2 linked regions of the Elephas maximus indicus genome follow. The protein of the gene in region 2 binds, or shares a complex with, the protein of the main gene of each other region. Links are inferred from orthologs where the notes say so. Each region holds a gene or a part of one and is shown on either strand. Other genes may lie near its edges.

Region 1 (3,748 bases), on a different chromosome or scaffold from region 2:
GGCTACATTCTCCTCATAGCCAGCTGAGGAAGCTGAGCCAGAGAATTTCAGGCTGGCCCTGAACCCAAGCAGGGAAAGAGGAGCCAGGGTCCAACCCAGGGTTCTCTCTCCAGAACCCACTCTCAACCTGCCCTCCAGGAGGACACCAGAGAACCAAAAACCACCCTCTCCTCTTCCCCTGCCATTGACAGTCAGGGAAACTGAGGCACACTGAGTTAAGGGCTGGTCCAAGCCACAAAGCATACCAGTAGGGGGCAGGCTGAACCCGACTCTGTCTCCGGTTCCAATCCAATATTCCCCCAGCCTCTGCCCCCTGCACACAGCCAGCCCCTTCACAGCCCTCGGGACAGAGAAAGGGGACTTCTCAGGGAGTCCTACCCTCTACACTGTCCGTGGCCTGCCACAGGTGGTCAAAGCTGTGGATGGGGGTGCCCCAGGGAAAGAATTGGGGGGCTGCCAAGCCATTCCAGCCGCCCCACCAGCAGCCTAGGCTGCTTACACAATACACTGCTCAAGGCCAGAGGTGGGTGGGACTGATGGCTTTCCAGCCCAGAGGGCACAGAGGCCCCACCCACAGCGGTCCCCAGAAGCCTCCTTCCCTATCTGGTCCTGCCAAATCTCCCCCAGAAAATGAGGGCCCAGGGGACCTTGCCCTGGAAAGCCGGGGTGTGGAGCAATGCCCATGGTGGATTGGAAGGGCTGGGCTTGGAGTGGGGACTCCAGGCAAACCGCTGCCCCACCTCAGTTTCCCCATCTGTGAAATAGGGCTAGGTCAGAGGTCCGAAGAGTGGATATGTTCGTGTTCTGGGTCTAAGTGTTGGTGGGTGGCTCCCAGCCCAGGGCTGCTCCAGGCACTGTGGTCTCACCCACAGACATAATGCCAAGGAAGGCGAGGAAAGGGCAGAGGTGAGACGGGTGGCCAGGGCAGGCCTCTGCAGAAGCGGCAGCTAAGCAGAGACTAAATAGGGTGAGAAGAGGCATGAAGAGCACACCAAGCAGAAGGGCGAGGGGCAGCCAGGGGCCCCACTGGACGAAAGGCTGAGGAGGTGAGTGCACATTGGACAGGAGGACATCTGCCATGTTTTTATTTAAAATACTCTATAAAAAACAAAATAAAACCCATTGCCGGCTGGTTAATTCCAACTCATGGTGACCTCACGTGTTGTAGAGTAGAACTGCTCCTTAAGGGTTTTCTCTTTATGGAAGATTGCCAGGCCTTTCTTCCATGGTACCTTTAGGTTAGCAGTCAGTCACAAAAAGAGGCCCTGAAATGTCTGTGATCCTCACCTTTTTTTTTACTGTGCTCTAGGTGAACCTTTACAGAGCAAATTACTTCCCATTCAATAGTCTGTACGTTGTGTTCAGTGACACTGGCTGCATTCCCCTCAACGTGTCAGCACTCTCCCCATTTCCACCCCGGGTTCCCCGTTTCCTTTTGTCCAGATTTTCAACCCTTTCTCGCCTTCACTTTTGGGCAAATGCTGTCCTTTTGATCTCCTATGATTGATTGTTCTAAGGAGCACATTCCTCTCGGGTGTTATTGTTTATTTTATGGTCCTGTCTATTGTTTGGCTGAAAGGTGGTTGATCCTCACCCTGAGGTCTAAAGCCATGGGTCACTAGGCTGCACCAGAGGGTCTGAGTTTTGCAGCCTGGGACCTCCAGATTCCACAGGGCAGTGTCATGAACTGCTTAAGATGGCCCTTCTAGCCACAGTCTTTGTAACTCCCACCAAATGATTGGTTGGGCCATGCTAATAGGCTGTATGGAACCCTAACAATGGAATTGGTCAGTTTTACAATCCCGCTAAGCTTAAAATGGGCCTTCCCAGAGGTGAGAAGGGAGGATCTCACCACCACCAAACAAGAAGAGCCAAGAGTGGAACTCGTCGTTTGGACCTGGGATTCCTGTGCTGAGATCCTCCTAGACCCAGGAGACAGAGAAAGAACTGCAACGCTGAAGACAGCAAGATGGTGAGAAGCAGCAGCAGAGGGAGGAGACCAGCAGGAGATGGCATGGTGGGCTTCCTGGGACACGAAAGCTGAGTGCCTTCAGGAGGAGGCTTTCTGGAGGACTAGGTGCCTCTTCTCACGAGTCTGTCAGTTTGTCGTATCGTGGGGGCTTGAGTGTTGCTATGATGCTGGAAGCTATGCCACCAGTATCACCCATGGCAGACAGGTTTCAGCTGAGCTTCCAGACTATGACAGACTAGGAAGAAATAGAACCCCGCAGTCTTCCTCCGAAAAGAATTAGCCAGTGAAAACCCTATGAACAGCAGCAGAACACTGTTTGATATAGCGCTGGGAGATGAGCCCCCCAGGTTGGAAGGCACTCAAAAGATGACAGGGGAAGAGCTGCCTCCTCAAAGTAGCATCGACCTTAATGACGTGGATGGAGTAAAGCTTTCAGGACCTCCATTTGCTGATGTGGCATGACTCAAAATGAGAAGAAACAGCTGCAAACATCCATTAATAATCAGAACATGGGACATAAGAAGTATGAACCTAGGAAAATTGGAAATCACCAAAAATGAAATGGAATGCATAAACATCAATATCTTAGGCATTAATGAGCTGAAATGGACTGGTACTGGCCACTTTGAATTGGACAATCTTATGGTCTTTATGCCGGAAACAACTTGAAGAGGAATGCCATTGCATTCATTGTCAAAAACAACATCTCAAGATCTATTCTGAAGTACAACAGTGTCAGTGATAGGATAGTATCCATACTTCTACCAGGAAGACAAGCTAATACAACTATTATTCAAATTTACCCACCAACCTCTAAGGCCAAAGATGAAGAAATTGAAGATTTTTACCAGCTTCTGCAGTCTGAAATTGATCGAACATGCAATCAGGATGCACTAATTACTTGGGACTGGAACGCGAAAGTTGGAAACAAAGGAGAGGGATCGGCAGTTGGAAAATACTGCCTTGGTTATAGCAACAATGCCAGAAATCTCATGGTAGAATTTTGCAAGACCAATGACTTCTTCATTGCAAATATCTCTTTTCAACAACATGAATGACATATACACGTGGGCCTCACCAGACGGAATACACAGACATCAAATCGACCACATCTGTGGAAAGAGACGATGGAAAAGCTCAATATCATCAGTCAGAACAAGATCAGGGGCTGACTATGGAACAGACCATCAATTGCCCAAATGCAAATACAAGTTGAAACTGAAGAAACTGAAGAAAATGAGGATAAGTCCACGAAAATCAAAGCACAACGTTGAGTTTATCCCACCTGAATTTAGAGACCATCTCAAGAGTAGATGAGACGTGTTGAATGCTAATGACCAAAGACCAGATGAGTTATGGGATGACATCAAGGACTCCATACAAGAAGAAAGCAAGAGGTCATTAAAAAGACAGGAAAGAAAGAAAAGACCAAAATGGATGTCAGAAGAGACTCTGAAATTTGTTCTTGAATGTGTCCAGCAGCTAAAGCAAAAGGAAGAAACAGTGAATGAAGTGAAAGAGCTGAACAGAAGATTTCAAAGGGCGGCTCAAGAGGACAAAGTATTATAATGACAAGTGCAAAGAGCTGGAGACAAAAAAACAAAGGGGAAGAACGCTCTTGGCATTTCTCAAGCTGAAAGAACTGAAGAAAAAATTCAAGCCTCAAGTTGCAATAGTGAAGGATTTTATAGGGTAAATATTAAATGATGCAGGAAGCATCAAAAGAAGGTGGATGGAATACACCGAGTCATTATACCAGAAAGAATTGGTCAACTT
Region 2 (3,748 bases):
AATGTGGTTTTATTTTTATTATTATTTTACTTCCACACCTCCATATATTTTTTTTAACAGCTTTACTGGGATATAATTTACATACCATAAAATTCACCTTTTAAAATGTACAATCCAATGGTTTTTAGTATATTTACAGAGCTGTGCAACCATCTGCCATAATCTAATTTTAGAACATTTTTTCATTATTCCTCCCCCCCCCCAAAAAAAAACCTGTAGTCAATAGCAGTCTCTCCACATTCTCCTTCCACCCCTCTTTCCCAGCCCCAGGCAACCACTAACCTATTTTCTCTCTGGATAGATTTGCCTGTTCTGGACATTTCATATAAATGAGATCGTACAATATGTGTCTTTTGTGATAGGTGTCTTTCACTTAGCATTAACTCAATAAACTTTTGACCTCGACCTTCTGCCTCTGAAGATAAGACAGTATCCTCGCATTTTTCATTAGTTTGAGGATTGGGTATAACTGGTAGGAGACGAAATTAATAAGCTAGTCAGAGCCAGTAGACTTTTCTCCATCACATAAACTAATCCATCTTGCCAATGTTAAAAAATACCAGAGTGTGCAAATATAAACTGCAAAGCAATGTGTGTCCATGGGTACCTAAATGACACTATGTGCCCCAGAATTCAGAAAGGAAGGAAGGAAAGAAAAAAATGAACACATTGACCAATGTCAATACTTAACTTCCCTCTTGGGAAAACTGGTGGTCACAGAGTATGTAATAAAAAAAATTTTTTTTAATTAATTTATTATTTTTTTAATAAATCGATAGAAATCTGTGTTGGGTGCCGGGACAGGACCCTGGAGAGCCACTCCTGAAGGAAAGCAAATAGGAACCTCACAGAAAAATCAAATTTTCCGTTCTGCCCTTTCCCCCTCTTCTTGCTGGCAGGCTTGATCTTCATTAGTTTGCTTAAATATTTGGAAGTGAGTTTAGGGCCCTCCCCCCAACTTATGATTTTATAGCCAATAGGTGATGAGGTTTATTTGCATATTTCCAGTCACATAAGCAGCCCTGGAGTGGAGACAGTGTCAGACTCAATTCCTCCTCCTCCTCCGAGGAAATCTGCCACTTCTAGCTGTCCAGCCCATCTCTTTAAAGGGCGACTTGCCCCACGCCGCACCGCGGCTCCAGCCCTCTCTGGCCTCGGATTCAACCAGTACATTGGTCCGCCCGCGCGCCCCCCTGTGCCGTGAGGCTACTACAGAGGCACGCGTCCCGAGATGAAGAGCAAAGCAGTGCTCCTGGTGGCCCTGGGCGTGTGGCTCCAGAGTCTGCCCGCCTCTCACAGAGGGGTGACCGCCGCCCAAGGTAAGTTTTGCGCGCAGCCTCGTCCTACACCTGCAGATGCTGCTCCTTGGCCACTAGCACACGCTCTAAGGATGGGAAAGAGGAAGTTGGAAGGGGCTGAGAAGGAACACCGGCGACTCCCCCGTCCGAGCTCTGGTACCCGGGTAGGACCACCTGGGTGGGGCCCAGGAGGGGTAGAGGGGAAATTTTCCCTCCGATTTCGCTGGGGGGCTCTCAGCTCCCGCTTTCCTTCTCTCCTGGTTTCCCGCGCTGTTCCCTGCACTTGGGCGGCTGCAGCGGCGGTATTCCGGGGCGCGCGCGCAGAGCCGGGGAGGGTGTGGGGAATGTGAGGGCGGGACCAGGAAGGGAAGGGCCCGGATGGGGTGACTGGCAGTAACTTCCTCGCTCTGGGGGCCCTGGAATGAAAGGCACGCGGGCCAAGGTGACCCCGGCTTGGCCGCGGCAGAGGTTCAGCCCGCTCCTGTGGGAGCGCGGGCAGAAAGTGGCCCCTTATTTTGGAGAAGCCGGCCCCGGGAGGGGGTAAATGCATAGTCTGCATCTTAAAAGCGCAAGGCACCCTTGTGCTCTGGAATGAGTGAGGGGAACACGTGGCGCGGTGTCCTGGGGACGCTGCGTCCCGCACGCGTTAGGACGCCCGGGAAGCTCTCCAGCTTCCATGCACCCACGCTTTGCTTAGCGCCGAGAAAATCTAGCCAAGGGCTGACCCTCCTGAAAACGTAGCGTAGCGACAAGCAGCCTCTGGCTAAATCTGCACTCAGTTTCCTTCCCCTCGTGTGCGAGTTGGGGCTAGCTCTGGGCGCCGAGCCTGGCGTTGCGGCCGCGAACTCATGGAGCTCCTGGCCACCGCGGGGAGGCAGCGGGCTGAACCCCCGTTACCGCCGCGGGCTCGCACGCCTTTTAAGACATTTAGAGCGAGATGCGAATTTCTTTATCGCAAGGAACAGGAGTGTCCAGCCCAAGCCTTGCCCACGGTAAAGGCAGTCTGAGTAACTTGAACCTTGGTTCAGCTGAAGTACAATAGCAACTCTGAAGGCAACTGAAAAAAAAAAAAAAAATTTTTTTTTTTTAGCAAGTAATAAAAGAGTCAGCATTTTCTTTTCTCTTCCGTCGTGGAATTCCAGTTGGGTCAGTGTCTGTTGGATGTACTCTCAAATGGCACGTCGTCCGCAGATGTTCAAGTCATAGTCGAGTTTACCCACGACTTTGCAGCTGAAAGGTGGTTTTATATCGGCACCGACTTGTGAAATAAAATTATTGTTAGATTTTTTTTTAAAAGGAGATTTCATGAAAGCTACATTTGATGGAAAAATTTACCATTATCTTTCTGTCAGATGGGTTTGAAAACACTGCAGGTTCAGTTAGGAAGTCTTAAACGTCATATGTAGTGGTCTGTTCCTCTCAGTAGCGTTCCCAGGGTCCGCGAAGATGGAAGGAATGAACTCCAAGCTCTCATTTCAGAACGTATATACGTAGTACAAGGTTACGCTTGCCGGAAAACACACGCAAACCTATGCCATCCACATTTTAAGTTTTTGCTATCCTGCATTAGAGGTTCACGAGCCTAAATTTTGGGGCAGGTCACTGCAGCCTCTCTGGATTTAGCTGCTTCAACCCTAAATGAGGAGTATGGACCAGAATGGAAGTTCTTTGAGGCCTCTCTAATTCTCAATCTTTGATTCAAGTGGACACTTAAGTAATTAAATTGGATTTTAACCAACACGTGCCTTCCCTGGCTGAAAATGTATTACTAAAGGAGGCATTGCTTGTTAAGTCAGCCCTTTGCCTTTGAATCTGTCACTAGAGGACAGAGTAGAACTGCCCCATAGAGTTTCCAAGGAGCGCCTGGTGGATAACCATCCTTTTGATTAGCAGCTGGACTCTTAACCACTGTGCCACCAGGGTTTCCTGATGTGTAAGTAGATGTTAAATTACTCCCACCCTTCACTCTCCCTGTACATCCACCTCTCCCATCATAGCTGCTTCACTCTGCTTTTCTCCTCTAAATGAATTCACCTAGGAATGTAAGAATTTCAGAGTGAGAAAGACACATGTGTGGGCAATGGTAGGCAGCACTTTCTCTGGGCTCTGACTGTATTTATTCATTTTCTATTTCTTTCCAAGAAGAATATGAGGATATGAGGCCCTGCCCTCAGGCTCTTTGCTCTGGGAGCCACCACAATCTCTTCAGGGACCCAGTTAGGAAACTTGAAGAACTGGGAGAGGGAGCAGAAGGGTCAGTGCTCAATAGCTGCAGTTCCCTTTGACTGGCCACAGTGAATTTCCAGGGTGACGTCTGAGTTAAGCATGATGGGTAATGAGAACAAAATAGCAGATGTCACCTTCTATTAGAGCTCAGCTAGGGAGTGATTGACTAATAGCTGAATAGAAAGGTGGCAGGCACGGGGAAGAGTTATAGTGAAAAATGTTCA

What was found. The genes of interacting proteins can lie anywhere in the genome.
Region 1: the proteins of LPL (region 2) and GPIHBP1 are in contact, whole or in part, in a crystal structure (PDB 6OAU), measured with the Homo sapiens proteins. The link is inferred for Elephas maximus indicus from reciprocal best matches to the Homo sapiens genes LPL and GPIHBP1. Residues at the interface, in NP_000228.1 of Homo sapiens: Tyr367, Gly368, Thr369, Ala371, Glu372, Glu374, Leu403, Met404, Lys406, Lys430, Lys440, Ile443, Cys445, Ser446, Arg447, Glu448, Val463, Lys464, Cys465, His466, Asp467, Ser469; in NP_835466.2 of Homo sapiens: Cys68, Lys69, Ser70, Leu92, Ala94, His95, Gly96, Asn97, Thr98, Glu99, Ser100, Leu103, Thr104, Thr105, Ser107, Trp109, Cys110, Thr111, Asp112, Ile117, Lys119, Val121, Glu122, Thr124, Val126, Met128.

What each region holds. Positions count from the first base shown.
Region 1 is NC_064833.1:1,698,205-1,701,952, reverse strand, and holds the start of GPIHBP1 (glycosylphosphatidylinositol-anchored high density lipoprotein-binding protein 1), read left to right. Parts: upstream 1-979; 5' UTR 980-1,046; intron 1,047-3,748.
Region 2 is NC_064840.1:55,317,666-55,321,413, reverse strand, and holds the start of LPL (lipoprotein lipase), read left to right. Parts: upstream 1-1,034; 5' UTR 1,035-1,231; coding exon 1,232-1,319; intron 1,320-1,330; exon of another isoform or gene 1,331-1,462; intron 1,463-3,748. UniProt on the Homo sapiens protein: Key enzyme in triglyceride metabolism.